Linked DNA regions of Lepisosteus oculatus. The protein of the gene in region 3 interacts with the protein of the main gene of each other region in a pairwise test. Links are inferred from orthologs where the notes say so. Each region holds a gene or a part of one and is shown on either strand. Other genes may lie near its edges.

What was found.
Region 1: the proteins of apoptosis regulator Bcl-2 (region 3) and bnip3 interact in a two-hybrid assay, tested with the Homo sapiens proteins (2 studies listed by BioGRID and IntAct). The link is inferred for Lepisosteus oculatus from reciprocal best matches to the Homo sapiens genes BCL2 and BNIP3.
Region 2: the proteins of apoptosis regulator Bcl-2 (region 3) and bnip2 interact in a two-hybrid assay, tested with the Homo sapiens proteins (3 studies listed by BioGRID and IntAct). The link is inferred for Lepisosteus oculatus from reciprocal best matches to the Homo sapiens genes BCL2 and BNIP2.

Annotation. Positions count from the first base shown.
Region 1 is NC_090699.1:25,044,339-25,051,455, reverse strand, and holds the start of bnip3 (BCL2/adenovirus E1B 19 kDa protein-interacting protein 3), read right to left. Parts: upstream 3,046-7,117; 5' UTR 2,882-3,045; coding exon 2,839-2,881; intron 927-2,838; coding exon 755-926; intron 207-754; coding exon 128-206; intron 1-127. UniProt on the Homo sapiens protein: Apoptosis-inducing protein that can overcome BCL2 suppression. May play a role in repartitioning calcium between the two major intracellular calcium stores in association with BCL2.
Region 2 is NC_090700.1:58,384,102-58,392,069, reverse strand, and holds the start of bnip2 (BCL2/adenovirus E1B 19 kDa protein-interacting protein 2), read right to left. Parts: upstream 3,002-7,968; 5' UTR 2,341-3,001; coding exon 2,006-2,340; intron 1-2,005.
Region 3 is NC_090701.1:10,513,485-10,520,681, forward strand, and holds the start of apoptosis regulator Bcl-2, read left to right. Parts: upstream 1-4,149; 5' UTR 4,150-4,239; intron 4,240-4,999; 5' UTR 5,000-5,101; coding exon 5,102-5,659; intron 5,660-7,197. UniProt on the Homo sapiens protein: Suppresses apoptosis in a variety of cell systems including factor-dependent lymphohematopoietic and neural cells. Regulates cell death by controlling the mitochondrial membrane permeability. Appears to function in a feedback loop system with caspases.

The DNA.
Region 1 (7,117 bases), on a different chromosome or scaffold from region 3:
TGAAGCCAATTCATAGAGGGGGATTATTAGGAGGCCATGATTGGTAAAGGCCAATGGGAAATTTAGCCAAGATGCCGGGGTATTTCTATTCAAATCAATCAATAATGAAATATAAAAAATATATTGCCTGAGAGCTGTTTTTCTCTCCACTGCTGTGCACCTCAGATCCTCTCCGGAGATGAAGGGGAGTCTGAGACCGTGGAGGACTAAATTAAAGAAAAGCACTGGTAAGTGACTGTAATTGAAACATTACACAAAATGTCTTACACATTGCTTTAAAACAATGTTTTAATGAAAGCAGAGACAGTCTCCATCACATGTATAAAAGCTTATGACTGTAAGCTAAATAGCTATCTAGTATCTTAAATTAAAGATATGTGTGAAGTCTTTTTATCAACTCACCCTTGTTCACTATTACTATTTTCCTGTTATGTATAGGCTGCATTTTTTAATGCATGCCTGTAATCGGAAAGTATCATGAACCCCGTGAAATCAGTCCTGCAAAAATCAATTTGGCTGTCCATTCAATATTAACTTAACTGGACAGCATCAAACAAGGTCTACTGCAAAACAAGATGTATGATAATGCATTCCCAGCTTCATAACAATTAAGTACTCCTAGCAGAATGCATAAACATCTATATTTGGTACAATAAATGTATAATCCTTTAAGTGTACTTCTTCATGTATTACATAAAATCTGAAAGATTTCTAAATTTAATAGACCACCTATTAGTGTAATCTACTTTTATACCTGTCACAATGAGAGCTTCCTCTGGAGCTACTTCTGCCAGATTCATGCTGTGCATCTAGAAGCATGTTTTCGATGTCTCCATTGTGAATCGAAGCTGGCACCTGGTCCTGCCCTCCATTTTGTGTAACACTCCCATTTCCATTATTATTAAAGTGCAGCTCCACCCAAGAACCTATAGGAACATGTAAAACAACACAACAAATCACACCCAGTAAGTATAAATATATAAGCTCTATAATTTTAAACTTTAAAATGAGCACACATACAGTACCACTAGCATGCCTAATTTAAAAAGGACAGCTTTAAAAGATCATCAGCCCTTTATACTGCACTTACTTTAATGCAAATAAACAGTGTTCTTTTTGAACCAGCTGACTGTCACATGCTTGTGCCCTCTCTTTACATCACTGTATTTTTTTTACAATCTACTATCCAATAAGGAAAGGAGCATCAGAACCACTCCTGTCTATTGCATCACTTGAAAGAAAAAACATGTCTGTGGTTATTTTTGTTCCTTATCATAGCTGCATTAGGTAGGACCATAAATAGAATGCTACAATTGACAATAAAGAACTCATAGGACAAAAAGACTTTGCAAGGTCATCTGATCAGTCAGTTTCAAAGCTGATACTGTTTTACATTAAGGAACTGAAAGCAGAAAGGGTATGAAAACAGGATAAAATCAATACTTTGAGTGCAACTGATCCCACCAACATTAACTGCTAATTGTGAATGTTCAATATTCAATACATGACCTCTCAATACTTTTTTTTTAAAAATGCATAAATTGTGTCTAATGTTGTACACAAAAGCTACTTAAGTTTGCAAACGCACACTCTTCAGTCATTTGTAATTATTAACTTTTTGTTCCATTTCTTAAGCATAATGGACTGGCAAGATTATAATTAAAATACGTTTGGCTTGTGGTAAAAAACTGACATGAAATGAGCTCCTATTTTCTTTTAGTCCCCTACTTCAGTGAAAAAGGAAAAATAAACAAAATGCGGTTTTCCTGAAATTATATCTTCTTATCAACAGTATTAAGATTAATTTAATTAATTGGCTGATACAATCCATTTATCTACTGCAAAGGGATAAAACAGTACATACTGTACGTTCTGAAAGTATAGATTTAATGATTATGGAAGTTTGATATAACAATACACGATAACATCAAGGGTGAAAACTGGTGACTGGTGAATCTACATTAGCCAAGTCTGTGTTAAACCTTAAATTATCACTTATTCTTAGATTATGGTTAGGGTGAGAGTGTGTGGACACAGGTGAGGTCAGGAAAAAAAAGTATTCGGGTTTCACCAAGAAGCCTTTGACGAACCTACATTTACTGGATCACCAGCTTCTTAAATATAAGTTTAGTTTCATGATTTTAAATGTATACATCTGATTGTTTTCCTGGTGATTCTTAATAATTTAATTGGGATTGTTTGCTTGTCACTTATATTATTATTTCAACATCATCCGAGATTTTACAAAAAATGTAACAGTATTTTTGTATTTTTTCATAACAATGGTACAAATAGCTTAAATTCCAACCCTAAACAGGGGAACAAATACCAGTCTTACGCCATTCTAGTTTTGTAAATCTCATACTAGCACATTTGGCACCAAACAAGAGTTTTAACTCTGCTTAGACCGACCTTGTAAATGAAACCAATTGATTAAATCACAAATCTTAACTAGGGATGAAATATTCAATCTGCTTGGAATTTGATTTCCACTTTAACTAGCTATATACAGTGTTACAATTTTTTAGAAAAAAAATCTGAAAATCTGTCATTTTAGAATAGTTGATTTTCAAATACGACAAAACGATAGATCGAAATTAAGTAAAGTCAACAGAAATCGCCTCCAAACCTTGTGCGCTCTGCTGTTGTTTACATTCCACTCTGAAACGTCACTTTAGCAGCATTTGAGCAACGTGCATAATTATCATTAATTTATAATCCAAGGAAATTATGAATAGCAACCCTTAAGGCTTGCATAATTTCGCTAACATTGCAAAACAAATCGCTGTCACTCAAGGCCTCTACACTGAACACCGCGGACAGAAACCAGCAACCTACCCTGCAAATTTTCGTCCTGGTTACTTTGCTTCTCTGTCGACATGTTTCTTGTCACCTCTATCAACAAAGGTGGTGCACAAGCTGTACTGCTAAATTAACGCTACACCTGCGCTACTTTCATACAAATTGGCGTCTGTTTGGTCTGGGTAACAAGCATATATCAAGAACCAGACCCCCACAAAAACACAGTGACGCAATGTATTGTTGATTTACTGGAGTCCGTGTCGCGATTGGTCAGAAAAGGACCACGTCATGCCGGGGCTGGATTGGGAAAAAAAAGAACGTGCAGTTCAGCTGCAGATTTGTACTGTGTGCTTGCGCCTTTTCCCAGTCCTGCAAAGATTTATACACAGGGCGAGCCTTGTGGTCATTTGAGTTATGTTACTATTATCGTGCTTTAAAAGCGAAAGAATGCTAACAACGAAAGGCAACTTCCTTGTATCCTTGATTGGCAGTGTAAGAAGATGAAGAAACGTTCCTGAGCCGAGACACAACTGTTGTGAAGAGTTTAACTGTAAGCGACGTAAAGCAATCATAACACTGAAAAGCTTTGTAATTGTATTTTCAGTTGCTTGTGGATTACAAAACATATGTATATATACTACCACTATAAAGAAGGCTTTAGCCCGGCCAGATTCATACAGCGTACTTGTCAGGCATAACATAGGAAATACTGTATATTCGATAGTGCGCCCTCAGGTGGTGAAATCTAGGAATGCCGCGATTGCTCTACAGTATATGAGAAGAGGCCATTAATATTTTGGATACAGTTCCTGTTCATTTAAGGAACGTGCAAACGCCTCTCGTTCCAGGATTAAAGATATATACCCTTCTCTTCTCTTTTAAAACAACATGCAATTTCATTATTAAAATCGAGTTATTCTAATCAGTTTTATTACACTGTATAAAGATCTCAGTCACAATAGCTGTAGAAATTCTTCTGTTTCAATAAATTTAAACCCCCTAGCAAAACTACCACCACTAATATGATAATGTATTAGGTGGTTCCCAATAATTTTAACTGTAACGTGTTGCCTCGCCTGTTATATTGCAGTTGAGTCTGATGGGTCTATCTTGAACAGAGCCTGATTTTAGGTTTCTCTGTTGTTTGCTGAAGCAATGTCTCATTCTATCAGCAACTTCTCTTGGTGATGGGCCCCCTTCAATGATGCTATCATCAGTCAGTTTTCATTATTCAAGAAAGCCATTACTGTATGTTGTCCTTCTTTCTCCTCTTTTTCAGGGGTTATATCTACATTACACAATAACTTCATTGGTAATTTGTATGCAGCTACACAGTGTATACACGTCTATTCTGAGAATCACATTACTGAACTAAAGTTTGTGCTCTCATAGGCCTTTTGATATTAAATGTGAATTGTTGTGTGTTTTCATTATGAATTAGTTATGTTTATGTGCTCATAATTGAATTAGTTACATATAATATTAAGATAACATATTTAATCAATTAGAAAACAAGACATTTTCCCAAATGTTCTATCAACTGTAATTGAATGCATAAGAATATTATAAGAGGGCTATAGAAAATCTGATTTTGCATATATCTAACAATGTCAGATTACTCAAGTCTTATGTTTTCTAAACATTTGAACTGTGAGTTTAATATAGTCATAATGTATGTCTGCAAAGGAACAAGTAATAGGTTTATTCCATGCTGAAAAGAGAAGAAAGGAATCACAACATTTCGGCCGTGGAGCCTTCTTCAGGTGTGAAGTTGAAGAGTTAAAGAACACACAACTGAAGAAGGCTCCACAGCTGAAATGTTGTGTTTTCTTTCTTCTCTTTTCAGTATGGAATAAACCTATTACTTCTTCCTTTGCAGCCTGCGCATTCTGACGCAGCTCCCCACCTGAGCTACATAATGTGTCTGTCTGCAAACATTTTCTAATACCATCTTATTTATGAAGCAGCCTTCTGTGGTGCTTGTAAACTCTTCAACTATCTCAGCAATAATATTAAGCAGAACTAGGAGTGGAAGTTCTCCCTGTGTTCACTAGGGTTTCCTCCCACAATCCATAGACATACAGTACTAGTAGGTTAATTGGCTTCTGGCAAAAGGCCCTGGTGTGTGTGTGTGTCCGCGTGTGCCCTGCTTTGGACTGGCATCCAGTCTAGGGTGTATCCTGCCTTGCACTTGTTGATTGCTGGGATAGGCTCCAGCTCCTCCATTACCCTGTACTGAATAAAGCAGTTAGAAAATGGATGGATAGACAGTCTTCCCTCTTCATGTACAGTACCTCAGTTTGAGTTGATGCAAAGAGTAAAAAAAATCAAAATCCACAGAGTAACTAATTTAGTATGTCAGAAAAGTTGAGAAAATGATGAATGGGTATTTACAGGAAATTAAAGACTGGGCAGAAACCTGGCAGATGAGATTTACACATAGTATTTACACATGTAAAAAGTATTCTTACACGTAGTATTACATGCAGGAAGCAAAATCATAAACTTTAAAAACAAAATGAGAAATGATAAGCTTGAAGAGTCTACTTATGATAGACTTAGGTGCTTATGCTGACACACTATTTACATTTTCTAGACAATGTGGGAAACAATAAGAAAGGCAAATAAAATGTTGGGATATATACTGTACCTGAAAGCCCCAGATTTGAAATAAGTGATTTTACATTGGAAATTGTGCAAAGCTCTAGTTAGACATTATTTACAATATTGTTTATCATTTTCATGACCACATTATAAAAAAGATGTTGCTTGTATGGAATCTGCTCAGAGAACAGCAACTATATACTGTACATTCTGGAGCTTCAGAGAACATCCTGCACTGATAGCTTTAAAAAACTGAGTATTTTAGTCTTCAACATAGAAAACTATAAAGGAACATAATCCAAGTATTTAACATCCTTTAAGGCACTGACAAATTCAATTGAGTGAACGTCTTCAGAATCAACAGTCAAACATGACTCAGAGGACACTATGTGGAAATACCTTTAAAACCAAGAATAGGAGGTACATCTTCACACCAAGAGTTGTGAGAGTATGGAACAAGAGCTACCCAGCAATAGAGAAGCCAAAAGCCTAACTACTATCTCACTCTCAAAAGCATCACTTTTCAAACACAAGTTTAAATATGAAGGGGGTAATAAGTATTTTATTGTTCCTTTGAGTGCCATGAGTGTTAAATGTTATACTGTATGTGAATACTTGAGAAAATGTATATATTTTAACCAATAATTATTAAATTCTGCAGCAGAAAGCGGTAATTTAATTCTTATCAGAAAAAAACCCACGACAAAATGCCCACAAAAAAGTGTGAACCTTTTTTGCAAGTTAAAAAAAGAAAAAGGAATTGCAAAGGTTCAGTTTTTGTAAAATACTGTAAATAATCACCCATATACTATAGATGGTCAATGTGATGTGCTTTTAAGTTTTACATTTATTTTGGCAAATGATTATAGCTGAACACTCAGCAGTCACAGAGGTTTTTTTGACAGCCTCTAATACCGCCACAGAGCAAGAACTGCAAGCAAGGCCTCTTCATGCGTGGTAAAACATTCTGCAAATCCACTTGAATGCAGACGATAAGCCTCACTTTCCTTGTGCATTACATCCACTGTATTTCCCTAATCACGGTTATCTGTGCTAAGAGAATTTTTTCTTGTGCAGGGTGGATCGCCGGCTTGCCGAATGTGCTCCTTGATGACGTGTCTGCACTCGGCAGCTACTGTAGCTGCAGTGACACTGCAATGGCTGAGGGGCGGCTGGTGGAAGCTAGCAATGAGCTCATTCTCCCAGGAGGGAGCCAAGCTCACAGCGCATCACTGGGAAACTGCAGCTTCTGCGTGAAATACGTCCTTAGTCTGCCTCTGCTCCTGTCGGCCTGATTCTTTACTTTTGGGGGTGTGTACATGGTAAGAAGATAATCCTGTCTGGTTGATTTTAAATGCTTCCCAGGGCTTTTTTTTTTTCATTTTTTGATGCATCATTATCCACTGCTTCCATTATTCAAGGAATTTGGATGCAGCATTAGATTTCATGCTGCAGTGATGATTTTTTATATTTGCCATATGATGAATGTTGTTAATGTATGTGGAAGGTACTGCCTGCAGTTTTATTTTAGTATGTCCATCACTGCACACAGCAAATGGCACTTCCTCAAATACTAGAACAGCTCCCCAGGTAAACCAGCCAGAGAGCGTACAACATAACGGGATCATGGCTTTAAGGTTGGTCTCAGTATTTGTATTTGTATTTTTAATGCTTCTGTCTTAAATTTACAAAGGTTATTATTTCTGCATGC
Region 2 (7,968 bases), on a different chromosome or scaffold from region 3:
AGTAAAGCCTGCTGAATATTGGGGGAAAGTAAATAAATAAGGTTACACGTTTTAGGTATTTATATATTTCACTACTGCAGAAAACAGAAGAATTGAACATGACAAATTTTACGGGTTAAGGATTAAATGAAACTTTGCCCCACATACCACACCAAACACAAATGTCATAGCCAGCAGTAAGTACATGACAGGCTTTGTTTGCCAGAGAGTTTGCCTTTTTACATCACGCAGCCTGGCATCAATTACTCTGCCTCTCATTTGTGATTGGTGAATGGGTCAAAGCTTGCTTTATACTGGGCCCTGGTCATAAGCAGTGATCGTATGCTCAGCTCCTGGACTGGAGAGGAGGAACATGCTCTCCGATATAAAGCAGCTCATCACTAACCATATGGTGATTGCGCATTCTTTCCTAAAGAGGAGGGAGGGATGTCTCACCCTATTGTCAGCATTCAGCTGGTCGTCTGAAGATAGCTGCCCGTTTGGCACTCTGCACTGAATAAGCATCCTATAAAATAATTAAATGCTACAAATGTAACAAGTGCCATTATTTGATAACTGCAGTATAAGTCAACCACAATTACTCCATTAAACCAGTAAACTGCAAAACGGGATATGTTCTTGTAGATATTGCAAAATAGCATTCACAAAATTGTCTGCTCTTCACCCAACCATTGCTGTTCTTCTAGTAACCTGATTGGTTTTATTTTTAAGGCAACTCTAAAGGGCGGACTGTCATGCTTTGGGGGCAACATGCCACAATAATAATATTCGTAACTGATACTATCTAAGGCTATTTTCAAGAGTTTAAATGTAGCTGCTGATAAGGTTTTAACTGTGGGGGACCATTCAAGCACTTGAAATGGTCCTTCAGGTTATTTTTACCAAATGGACTCATGTGAAATGTTTATCCTCAGCAAATCTGTCCTCTCCCAAAGACACACGGACCTGGCAGCCTACAGGCTTCACAAATTAGGAAGATTAATCCATGTTAAAAGACTGAAGCTTTCGGAACAAACTTTTTAAAACTTATTTATGTGCATCTCCAAATTTAAGAACTTTTGGAACCATTTTCAGCTGTAGCAAAGAACAATGAAAAACTTGACCAGGAAAACAGCACTCTGTTGGATGCAATAAAAGGTCTCTTTATCATCACAGGCCACTTTCAGCTGTCCTATAGAACACAGGCCTCCACATATTTCTGATGTACAGCTGCAGGAAGTAAAAACCCATTTCTTTTACTGTCTTAGCCAAGTCTTGCATAGGCTCATCTGTGAAGAAAAAGGAGTCTTTGAAAGGAATTCTGAAAGAACAGAACAGCAGGTGTGTGAACGAACTGCTTTAACACTGCCACTTTATTAGAAATCCTCTCTTACTGATTGGTATGTCCAAAGTCGTAACAGTGGTAAAATGCTGCAGAAAATATATATATAGCCTAGTGCTAAAAATCAGTGTTATTGCTCTGCGGTATTTCAGGTTCTTCTCAGGTGTTTTCATCGTTCTTTTCTCTTGATCGTGTGGACTTTATCGCGCAAACGTCACAGGAAAAAAAAACTTTTAGTTAACTTTGATACGGATTCAACAGCAATGAATCCAGTAAAACTTGGATGTTTCAATGCAACCAACCTTACCAGCATGGTGCATCTTTAAGTGTATTTGCTGATACGAAATATCATGGTAAAGCAGAGATAAAGAGCCTAGCGCCTGTAGGCATCAAGTGACACGTCCTGCAACAAACACAGGTGAAACCCTATAATGTACATGGCTTGCATTTTTTGCATCGTTTGTATAACTGTACACGACACGTTTTGCATTAGAGAATTTTATGCATTTAAACCCACTGTTATAAGACCCAACTGAAACACGTTAAGCTTTCGTTAAAACTAACGTCAATGTGAATAATCCGACTAGACACTGAAAATCAACTCCCCTCTCCCCCCTTTTAAATTGTAAAACCTGGCGCACCCAAAAAAAAAAAAAACAACTAAGCTGTTCCCCTCACCCTCACCTTCCATTGTGTGCTGTTGGAGATGGCAGGCTGTGACTAACTGGAGTCGAAGTTCGCACCCCCGCCGGCTCTTGTTTTCGTCCATTGTCTGGAGTCCCGGCTTCCTGTGTCGGACCTCCTGTTTTGGTTGGAGTCCGCGGAGCTGCGCCCTCGGCAGTCTCCGATGGAGGTGCCGACCCGCTCTGCGGCGCGTCTTCCCCCGGAGCCGGAGCCGGAGCCGCCGGCCTGTTCTCCACCTTCTCCACTAACCTGGGTGTGTCTGCGCCTGAGCTGCTTGCGTTGAAGCCCGTATCGCCGGTTGCCCCTGCTTCAGTCTCAGTAACTTCTGCTGCCATGAGGGCGGCACCGTCTTTTCAAGTCTCCCTTCAGCTGAAAGCCCCGAAACTTCAAGAGCCGAAAAACTGTCGCCGACGCCGCGCAGCGCAACGCGTGTCAAGTTCTCCTCCACCCCCACCCCCTCCCCGTTTCTTTCACAACAGCAAAAAAAAAACCCGATAGTTAATTAATGCTAAACCTGAAACCGTTATGAAAGTGTACTCCCGATTTCCCTACGCCACGGTTCTGGTGGCTCCGGCGGGCTGACGTGCGGGAAAAGAGAGGACCTTTCTGTTTTGGTTGACTTGCGAGCCTGTTGTATGGCCCAGCAGCTCCTGTGCTCAAGTCCGCTTCCCCTCCCCTCTTCCTTCCTTCCTGTCCTGGAAAAGTCTGCAACAGGGCGAAACTACCAGCACCAAGCCGACTTCTCGCTAAGTCCTCCCCATGGTGAATCGCGGACGCCGGAAAGCGATCTTTTTTTTTTTTAACACCGCCTAGGTCCTGCAGCCGCATTTAAGGAAGCGAAAAACCGACCGTTCATTTTTGCACCTCGCTTCCCCATCCAGTGGATCTGACCGGCTGCTGGTCAAGTCCGTCAGCCTGCTCGCTGCCTACCCCGTTACTCGGGAAGCCCTGCGCTTCTCTCCTCCCCTTGACGGCCACATTTCTGCGGTACTGCCCTCTATGGTGCAAGGAAGGAACACCTAAAAGTTCACCAAAAAAAAAATGAAAGCTGCGAAAACGGCCAAAAACTTGCCTATTCTGATTCCCTTCAGCAACCAGTATTAAATGTGTTTGCAGGATGGGGCTTTTATAGAACGCCCTGTAATAGGATAGTATTTCTTTTATGTGAATAAAGTAAAATAAACATAAAATAATGATGAAGGTGTTGGTTTTTTTTTTAAAAAAGCCCAAGGGAAGCTGTATCATCCGCCTCTGATGTGGTTACTCAGAACGCACAACTATTTCACTATTTCGTCCTTTGAATTTTCCATCTTCACATGTCGCCTAATCTCCGGCTTGTAAGCTTGACACAGAAACCACGCACCTGGATAACGGAAATGATTCTTGAAATACCTGTGAGTATCTGTTGTCTTCACCTTGGCCTGCAGTATGCGTCGTGGCAAATCCCCCGCAAACACAAGTCACCAGAGGCATTAGGAAGTTGTATCCTAGACAAACAAGGTGAGAGAATATCTTGAAGAACATTTTTTTCAGACAGTAAATCCACATGAGTAAATCAATTTAAACTCTCTAGTTTTTATTCAACTTCTTAGTAAACTTTTAAACAGTTGCAGGGTTACTAATTCTCTTCCATAATAGCAAACAAGGAAAAAAAATATTTTAAACTTAGTTTTTTTCCCATTTTAACACATCAAAAGTCTTAACATCTGAGGAAAAAATGAAGACATCATAATTTAGGAGAAGTCCTCATTGGTTGCAAAAATGATCAATTTTAACGATGATTTAATTTTGAAAAATGATGAAACAAGTTAAAACATTGTTATTTCTAATGGCCATAAAAACAGCCACATACGCACTCAAACCCTTTTCAAGCTATGCTGCGTGTAAATTCAAAACATCTACCAGTAATGCCGGGACCGTGCGAAAATATGTAGGCCTATGTTTGTTCACACCGTCTGAGTACCGAGCAAAACAAAATCACGGATAATTTTTGGAACTTTATCAATCCCTGTCTGACCGATATTTAGATCTCAAAAAGAGGACTAATGTCTTAGATTGCATGTAAACATATCAGAAATTCTTCTCCGCCAATCTGTACTCTAATTTACAATTGTACCGAGATGTTTTCTATAGGATGTTGCAGAGTCCTTCCATATACAGTACATAAAGAACAGTTTTGTTATACAGGTGCACTTACTATATACAGAACACACAAGTCTATAACCAGTTCCAATAGTACTAGCAGATCAGCTACCAATTTGCTGTTTAGTTTTCTTTCAGTTGAATTGTATTTGAAATGTCTTTACAGTCATGAATGTTCCCTTTCTGTTAGAGCTTTGGACTCGCATATCAATGACTATGGGTCCAAGTTTATTATACAGATGAACAGGTGCAAAACTGATTAAATAACCTGCTGAACTGTGTGAATCTATTACTACTAAATGTATAACTGGAACTGTAGGTTTAGGCAGTGTCTGAATGTAAAAGCGTCTGTAAAAGTTATGAATAGGAAAGTTTCCAGAAATTTGGCATCAAGAAAAATGAAAATCGTATGTCCGGGATTAAGAGGACGTCTGCTCACCCTTAACCATAGTCGCGTCACGAATCGTCTCTCTCCTTTGCTATATTTCCTGAATGAACATTTCTTTCAAAACTTCATCAGATATGCAGTATTACAGACAAAACGGTATTCTGAAAAATAGGTGACAAACGAGCTCCAATGAAACATGCTACAGGTAAGTGTACAATGCTTCATCGTAAACATGTTTTACAGAAATGGTGAGCATTTTGCCCATAATTGTTATCAGAATTGTAACCAGTTGGGCATTTAACAAAGAATATTGTTGTAATTCGATATTTAACAATATATTGCAGACTTTATTTAACGCCTCTGGCACTGTATCCGAAATCATTACGACATTGAATTTCCCTCTACTGGCACAGTCCATAAAGCTTTAAGTTTGTGTAATAATACTGTAATAATTGATACACCTCACAAATTATGAATTTCCTCGTATATAGGAGTATGTGCTTTACAATTAGACATAGTATTCATAGTATGCTAATCTTTAATTTCTGTCGTTGAGGCACTTTATAGTTTCAATTATTAGTTGAAATCGGTCATATTTGGCAGTTACGCCCTCAAAATGTGTCATAAAGTAGCCAAATTAATTTAGCAAAACTGATTTTGATACGGATAACGCAAGCAGCCCAGTTCCACGCAGCGTGTTCCTGACTGAATAGTGGGACAGTTATATGTTTTCTTTTCTGATCTGAATTTCGTCTGCCACGTTCCTTCCTTAGCCTTCGTAACATCACAACAGTAGCTTTGCTTTGACGACCTGGACAGGGCGCACGGCTCAGGCCAAGCACAGAGGGAGCCCGCGTTTCACCCTGCTCGTGTGAGTGAGACTCCACCTCCTGGTGTATTTCTGTGAGTGCACCACACTTCATTCCTCCTACCAATTCATTGATAGATATATTGTACACTAACTGCACTGCCAGATGTTCGGGGACTTCCTAGCTGTACCTAATTCACTTAATCTTCAAGGTGGCCCTCACACGTGTACTTTCGTTGCGGTGTACAGAAACATGGTGACTGTACACATGTCTCAAGAATGCACCCCCCGAAAGGTGAGAGGCCAAAGGTGACGTCTAAACATATGAGCCTTTAACATTTTATGTGGGTGTTCTAGTTTTAACTTAAACGCAACGTAAAAACGTTCCTGGACTGTATTTGCTTGTTTTTATTTTGGAAAATATTACACCTTCTTTTGCATTGCCACGAGGAAAGCCAATTAAATGAAATATGAAATTGGCCATTTTGTTACTGTTATTTAGATGAAAATACGGCGGTTGGTATTTTTGAGAGCTTCCAGAAATTAATAGTTGAAAAATGATTCGTCTGTGGCAGTTATAAACTAGTAGATAGATTAATGAAAATAAATTACTACATATTTTTCAATGTTGACGTGATATTTATGGTTTAGAAAGTCTCGCCATAATTAACTGATTTTTCCACAAAAATGCAAATTCAACTGTTGAAGCAGTCTTCTTGAAATGCCCACTAGGTGGTAGGAGACAACCAGGTTAAAATCATTTGTCTTCTGCTATCCGCCAAGGGACAAGCTGAATTATGTTCTTGATTCTAAATATTTACTACTTCAAAAATGTACGTCTATAAAAGTATTCATATTCAGACTTGTCCTGTGGCTAGTTATATATTGAGACAAAATAGATTTGAGTAGATATTAGTTTATCAAATCTTTTCAGATAAGACATTAAAGTTTGAATGTATATCTATACAGTCACAGAAAATAATTCACTCAAGAAAGAAAACGGAAATTCTTGTTAATTTAAACCAATTAAATGTACTCATCTTTATTGATCATTTTTAAAACCTACGTTTTTTTTACTTTCATTGTCTTTGGAAAATGTATCTCCCAAAAAATCTTGATTATATCATTAACAAGATTAACCTGAGAGTCCAAAAGACCAAATGTATCTGAAGCAAACATGATTTAATCTACCTAAACTATTTATGTATTATTACGATTAGATTATTACTCAGTATTGTCTTGGTTTTTATTTTGTTTTGACTGGTAACCTGTATTCCTCCCTTTCTTCTATACTGCCTGAACATACAAGGTCATATCATATAGATTGATACTTTATTGATCCCGTGAGGGAAATTGCAGTGCAACAGCAGCTTAACACAGACAACACAGCCACAGTGTAACGAATTATATACTAATAGTACAATACATACAATACAATACAAGAGTTACTCACAGTCTGGACACACAAGAACAAACTAGAACAGAACATTACACAGACAATCGTATCACACATATGAATATAAATATAGATGTAACTATAGATATAAATATAAATATAAATGTATATCAGAAAGCATTCAGAGCAAAGTTAAATACCTTGATAGATTTTCAATAGTTACTAAACTGTCTAAAACACAAAACATTTACGTTTTCCTAAATATTTAATTTTTACTTGATATGATGCCTTAAGAGATAGAACGTTTAGTTATGTAATTCATCACTCTTTGGTAGAGTCCAGTATTAATGGACATCTGGGACAATAGTACTAACTGTATATATGTGAATATGAAAAATAGTCTCTTTTAGTATGCTAGAATACAGTGTCAAGGCTAAGGATGAAAGTACAGAGTTATTCATTAGTTCTCCTTTATTCTGAAAAATGTCTATGCCTATAGATGCTGCAATAAGCATTTACATGTGTAAAAATGTTGATAAATCATTGTTTAACAAGACTTTTGTAAACTACTTACATATGCTTCAATATAATAAATTGTTGTTTGATAATGAATGGAACTGTTAGGAACTAGATTTAAAGTGACAAGGTTTACTATCTTTTTCATTTTATAGAGACGAGTGCAAACAGAAGAAGTGGCACTGTAAATATAAAAAAAACTCCACAGAATGCAATTATTTGGACACTCTGAAGGACTATGAGCTGAACACAAACCAAACTATTAAAAATTGATCTATGAATTCAGTTTCCCCCTGTAAAAAGTAATTGCGTTCATTTAACTTATCCCTCTTTACAATTTTATTTATTATTATGAAGGGATATGGAGATGTAGATGATGATTAATGGTGAAAATGCACAGGAAATGGGAGCTGCTTCCTTTATTTAATTACTGTGTCCAACTGAATTGCTTCAGAGATCTACAAACACGGATGAACTGGTGAATAGAGTTTATGTACAGTGCAGCACCGCAGTGTTTGACATCACAGATAGTTATCAGCATTTGTGGTTTTACATTTCCATTACATCCCCCTCTACTGAACAGCATAACCTTCATTTGTAGATGTTATTCTGGAATAATTGCTTGAGCTATGGAGCTCATTAGTTAGTTCTGTGGGCTGAAGTAGAAAAAAATGTAGCTTCTTTCCCTTGTGCTTGCCTTTACACAAGCCAGG
Region 3 (7,197 bases):
AGATTATGAAATAACTGAAGATAGATAATAAGGACAACAAAAAATGATTTATACTCCATTGAGTTCCAAAGTGGACATGATGAACACAAATGTGCTTCTGTTATCTGTGTTTCTATTACAACATAATTCCCACATCCTTGCTTAAATTGCTGAAATCACTTGAGTCTATTCTCCTAACTTGATTTTTAATACTAAAAACTACAATATTCAAGTTTTCCAGTTTTTAGAAAAATATAAAAATCATTTAAAGGGGTGTCTGTTGTGTCGTACCTTGAACAATTCGTTTGAACAATTCTAATGTGCTTTAAATTAAAAACAAAATAATGTGGCTTCTCACGGATTGTGAAAGGCAGTGTATACTGTTTTCACAGATCAATTGACACGTGTCATTTTGAAAACGATAGAGAGAAAGTGCTGACTAGACAAGTTCATTGTCTGCTCTGGCATAATTAATTAAATGCAGACGCCGTTAATCTAGTAAAAGCACCTTGTGTTATTAGTCTTACAATCCTTCCCAGATTAAGGTCCCTAATCAGTGTTTTGAATGTGTACAGATCCTTACAGCAGTGTTTAAAATAAGAGGATCCCCAAGGTCTGTGATACCACTGATTGACAGCCGCCGTCTGGAATAACCTCCTCAGCTTCTCTCTTCCAGCCAGTGGAAAGTGACTCATTCTGTAGTCTGATTTTGTCAGGTCTCAGAAGGTAGGCAAAAAATTGGGAGAGATCTCGGTGGATCCGTAGTTAACACTTCAACTGGTGTGGGGTGACTACTTGGTCATTAAAGATCCCCACTCTGGGTGTGTAAAGCCTGGAGTGACTTCCCTCAATTCCCCTCTTAATTCAATAGATATTTGAGTAAATTCTCACTTCTCTGGGAGTGGGATTGGGGCTGTTGTACATCCCCTTGACAGGGGATTGATTTTATCATGGATGAAGTGGGTCCCCTCCTGGATGTGAAGGACGTTTGAATCTTTCATGATGAAAAGTCCTATATAAATGCAAGCAATTCTTATGAGAATAACAGGGAACAAGTCACAGTGTCTGCAAAGTGCTTTTTGTTTTGGTCAGCCACCACATCTAATGCCTGCTGCTGGCCATTGAGACTGGTTTTTGTTATTTAATGATAAAATTGTACAGTATATTGTGGAAAACAAACCTTCTGAGTCCATGTTAAGTCAGAGTCTTTGCAGGATGGGTTGTTGTCCTTAACGTGTGCCTGTGCTGAGATAAGAGAAAGAAAATCAGCAGCCATTCCTTCCAAAAAGGTCTCTGTTGGTTTTAGTTGGATATGTTTAATAGTTTTGCTGTTTATGGAGTGCCTTACAAAAATATTCATCCCCCTCCCATGGATACCCCATTATGCTGAATAACAAATGATGCATTCACATTTTTAACAAACGTTTAAGTTCAAGCTTGAATGCTCAAACGGAACACTTTGATGGATGAAAACAATTACGTCATTATGTCAGCAAAAACTGCAGAGAACCATTTAAAAAACAGAAACCTGTCACTTGTCAGTGCCTGCCCCCTTTGCTATGGGAAACATATTAGATCACGAACAGGACGCTACAAAGCTACTTTGACAAGTCACACAACTGAACCTCATCATGGATTCAAGTTCTGAAAAAAAAAAGCACATGCAGATTTCATCTGGTTCCTGGTTGGACATGTGCTTGGAGACTTCTCACACCAGGCGTGCGATTTCAGTTAACAAGAACGTCATTGTTCCCAGCCCGGCACTTCTGTTTCAGTTCAAGGAGAAACGTGACTGTTGGTGACCTATTAGAATTGCTCTGCTCTGTTCATTGTGTGAGAAAAGCAGGGGCCCAGTTCCCATAGATCCCGCTCCTAAAGCCTGCTCAGAGACTTGACGACTCGTGTCAAGATTAGATCAGGTATTCTGTATTTTACCGTCGTGGCTCTGTTGTTGTGTTTTACACGGAGCTGCCATCGCCGTTAAGACTGTTTTTATGAGGTATTTCTTACATGTCTAAGACTGCCCACTGCTGAATAAAACGGATATACAACAACTTAAAATTCTGGAATTCTGTGATAAAATTAGTTAGAACAATTTACGGTATTTTATTTTGTCCGGAAAAAAAAGTCTTCCCGAAACTGGCGTCCTCTAAAAGCAGGGAACACATTTTAACATCCAGTAGGTCTTTTCCCAGCTGGCTCTTCCTGGTGATGGAAGGAATTTAGATACAGATGGTTAAAAAAAAAGACAAATAGAATTCAGGACAGATGGACATAATGACGTAGAAAGGAAACCCCACTGAAAATAACAGAATTGAAAGCAAAGGAGAAAAATCTTCTAAATCCAAATGTAAATCTTGAAATCGTTAATCCAGCTTCTTGTTTGCAGTGCCTTCTACCAAAGAAAAGTAAATGAGACTGATACCCTTGGAAACTGGAACTGCTTATGCATGAAGAATGATGACAGCCTGTTACTACAGCCTCCTAAAAAATTAAATCTAAAAATCCATTTTCCAGATGGCATTGGCGTCTACCAAATGTGTGCCTCAAAAATCTGGACGAGAAAATGATTTTCAAATGAGGACAAGATTAAAATTCCTTGAAGACATTAATCCACAATAGAAAAGGATTCTCACAATGTAAACGCAATGCATTACAAAAGTATTTACTCTTTTCCACTTTGTGAATTTATGAATCGTGTACACAGATTTATAAAGTGAATAGTTTTAAATCCATTCAGCTAAAGCCATACAACTAATGGTGCGACTTGTCACTGTAATTGTGTGCGCCCAAATTAAAGATGTGTCATTATAAAGGGTGTGAATCAACTTTTTATTTGATTTTTTCTTTGCAGACACTTCACTTCTTTCACGCACAATGAAGTTTCGAGCATTTACCTTTCGATTAAAAATAAACACGTTAAAAAAGGTGTAGAGAGAATTTCTAATTCAACAACATGGAACATCACTGGAAGGGGTGAATGTTTTTACAAGGCATTGTAACTGCAGACCGATTCCAGACTGATTTCGGGAATTCAGCTTCGATAGGATGTCAGACGTCTTTATTTTTCTCATTAATTTCATATGTCATGTAGAATTCCCGCCTCCACTCTTCAGTGCATCATTTATCTCAAATATTTTACGTAAAGTATATATATGTACAGTATATGCACGGTTCGGTATTTTAATGGTGTTGGTTAACAATTGCCCCCACTTTACGATCCTGAATAATTGCTTAAAAATATACTGTAGGATGATTAATATTGTAGCGAATTCGAGTTCTCTAACTGCTAAAGTGCACTCTCGAGAAACACAAGCTTTGGCATAGATTTATATTATATATGACATTTACCTATTTAAAATGTATTTCATTTGCACTTACTGTAAAATCATTCAAATCCGTCTTCGGTAAAGAACTCGCTCGCTTGATATAATTTTGGCGACATCGATGATCGTTTTTGTGGTACAAACCTAATTGTGGTGCAAACAATATGTTCCGAAACACAAATGGCAGCGCCGGGGAATTAACGATATTGGACTTGGAACCGATGTTAAATAATAAAAATCGAGCGGAAATCTCACAACAGGTGAAGCAGCCGGTCGTACAGTAGCCCCGCCATCAAGTGCTGCCAGAGTAACTAAAAAAATGAATGGCGTGACGTAGAGGAAATACCTCACTCGAAAGGAGTAACGTTATATATAATGAGAGGCAGAGGGAGTGACGGCGAGTGCAGTTGTATCAAAGATTTGTTGCTCACATACTATGTAACTGCAGCTTTAACGTAGTTTTTGCCGTGACGGTGCAAGGAGCAAGGCTTAGTGTTATTTTCTTTCTAAACTTGAGATCTTTTTAATACATTCCTCGGCGTCTTTTTGTGTGTGTGTGTGTGGGAGACTCTCCTAGTCGATTTACTTAATCTGGGATAAAAGGCATTTCGAAAGCTACTGCTGTCTCTTCCGTCTTTCAAAGGCGCTGTTCAAATGTCACTGGGATAATTCAGCGCCGCAGGACAGCAGTGCGGTTTCGTCCAAGTTTTGGATGTGTTCAAGTGATTATCTCGAATTAGGAATCTAAGTGGATACTTCCCAAATTGCTGGATTTGTGGAAAATATATTCTAAAGGATACGCGAAAACTTGGTACTTTTTTTTCCCACGGATCTTTCTCATTGCTGAAAAGGGGCGTAATAATTAGAATAGATCAAACATTCCTGGCGGATTGCTTGCGGCTCTGGAGCTGTCTAAACGCCTGTAACCGATGAAGTAAGTTACCCAAAGTTTATAAAGCGATAGCGCGGGATGTATAGGCAAAGTAGAAAATAGATGATAAAATTCGGTTGTAGGAAAATGCATATTTAAATCCAGATAGACGATATTAGCTCCGACTGTTTTCTCCGGCATTAGAAAATTGCTCTCCTGGTTACGAAGAGTAGTGCATTCACCGCATAGCACGATTTCTTGATGTTTGACATTCATTTCTTTTAGAACATTTTGGTTTGTAATGAAGACTGTCAAGTCTGCGGGAAAAAAAAGGTGAAGTGTTAAGTATATGTTGTAGCTGCAGTTTACGTGTTGCAATGCACTTAAACGCAGGTTTTTGCAAATAGTAGAACATTGCGGGTCACCCAATAAACATGCTTTCTGAAAAATATAGAATGTCGTATTAATTAAAAGTACGTTTTTCAAAGTTTGATAATGCCTATATTGGGGCTTCTGAAGCCGGTGTGGAAATGATCGGTAAAGGGCAAACTTCATTCTTTCTACAATGCACACGTCTAAAATGCACCGATATTAAAGTGCGTGTTTAACTCGGGTAATATTTTTTATTTAATTAGGGTGTTTGCATTGGAAGATGTCTCTAATGTGTCTGGGTTTCGAACAGCCGCGGTGTTTTTACAGCATGGCGTGTTATTGATCCTAGCCGCCTTTTTGATATTGGTATTTTTAAAGACTGGTGGGAACACCAGAAATAATGTATGCATTGAGTCTGGTAGTAATAATCATCTGTATTGTTGAATTACAGAATATATAGCAAGCCGTTTACGAGTTTCTGTTGGAAAATGCACGTGGCATAGGACTGCTTGGACTTGCTGGGTTTGGTCGCGGCATTTTGAGTCCCTAAATAATGGCAAATAACGAAGCCCCGTACGATACTCGGAATATCGTGACAAAATACATCCATCACAAACTCCTGAAGAAGGGCTACGTGTGGGAATCCCGCGTGTCCGGCGAGACCGATCCCCCCAATAACGGATTGGTGGGCCCCTCCGCCTCGGGTCCGGGGCTGCAGGCGCGGCGGCTCCAGGCTGCCGGGGCCGAGCGCGGAGCTGTCCCGGTCCCCCGCCGGACCCCCCCGCCCGACCCCCACGCCGCTCTCCACAAGGTGCTGCGGGAGGCTGGGGACGAGATCGAGAGGATGTACCACCGGGACTTCGCGGAGATGTCGGATCAGTTGCACTTCACCCCCAACACCGCCCGGAGGAAGTTCACCGCGGTGGTGGAGGAGCTGTTTCGGGACGGAGTCAACTGGGGGCGGATTGTCGCTTTCTTCGAGTTCGGCGGGACGATGTGCGTGGAGAGCGTGAACCGGGAGATGACGTCCCAGGTGGACAACATTGCCAACTGGATGACGGAGTATCTCAACGGGCCCCTTCAGAACTGGATCCAGGAGAACGGAGGCTGGGTGAGTTTGGTCACAACGTGCAAAAAAAAAAAAAACAATAAAAAATAAATAAATGCAAAGTGTAATTGAGGTTTTGCAAGATTCCCTGTTTTCCTCAAATTTCTCCCTTCCTTAATGATCTCCGCAGAATCGATTTTTCCCCATAATCTCTTGTGATAGTGTTGCCTAATTTGTCGCACCATTCAATGCACGGTTTGAGTATTCAGGTTATACCCCAAATCCACGCACATACCTGCTGAAATGACAAGGGACACGCCTAAAACCTGTACATTTCCTTGTCTTTGTTAAATGGATTGAAGAACATGCATAAAAGCCTTGATTGTCCCTCACAATGGAAAGACATTTCCTGTCATCTGTGTGGCGAAGCCTGCTCTGTAAGAGGTCACCTGTCCGAAGGGAGCTCTGACCAATTAGGTGCGCGTTCCCTGTCACACCCCCTTCACGCCTACTAGACATGACGAAGGGTTGCCGTGTCGTGAGCTGTCAATTTCAGCCTGTGATGAAACTGGGAACATACAGTACTTCACTTCCAGGACATCTGGGCTAATGTCACACGAGTGGTTCGGAAGACACGTTAAAAAGAAGGTTTATAATTCTGAAAAGAGGGCTCGCCCAGTCCACAAGGGTTTAATTTGACGCCTTAACTTGCTCGGGAGGAAGGGGCGTACTAAGGTGTTTTACAGAAAGCCTTAGAAAATGTTGTATAAAACATTGAAACTTTCATAACACCTGACTTAAACAGTTACTATAACCTATTTCTGCTTATTTGGTAACGCTCTTGCTAAAACACTTTAACGTACAGAAAAATATTATGACGAAAAAAAGGCAGCCTCGCTTCACTGTAGTAACACGTATCTGCTTGTGCTATGAGGGAGTTTTTTTTTTAAGACGGGGGATACCAGCAACGTTTTCTTTGGTTTTCAGGATTCTGTGGTGACTAGTGGCAATTTCCCAAAACATTTTGTCACTGCAGATATTTACTAGTCTCTAAACTATAACTGGATTATAGCTCCCATATGAAGTCTTGCTGGTTTCTAAACCTTAAATCACTGTGTTGATCACAATATTATTTAAATAAACCACGTCTGCATTTAAATAAATGTGACATCACCTTCAAGAATGCAGCCACAGAGGAGATCTACAGCTTGCAGTTGTCATACATTCTCTCTGTTTGTTTTTGGGGTTGAACAGTCGATGCATCAGTCATTATTCCCATGATATCTGATGCTGTGAAGACATTAATCACATCTTCTGCAGGAGTGTGTTCTATTGCTCTTTTCATGTTGAAGAAACTCTTGTCATGGGTATACTTTGTGTGGTTATACAATGAAAGTCAGAAGAATACAAAGACCAATGAAAATAAATGAACGAAGCAGTAGTATGGACTGCTAAGGAACTACCCAAATCTTGTTTGGAGATCTAGGTGACTATGATTTATTTAAGCATTTCTAGTGTGAAATAGTTATTCATCAGACGTGCCTGGGAATTAATTAAATTTGAGTGAATATAATGTTATTATTAACAAAAAGTGAATACGT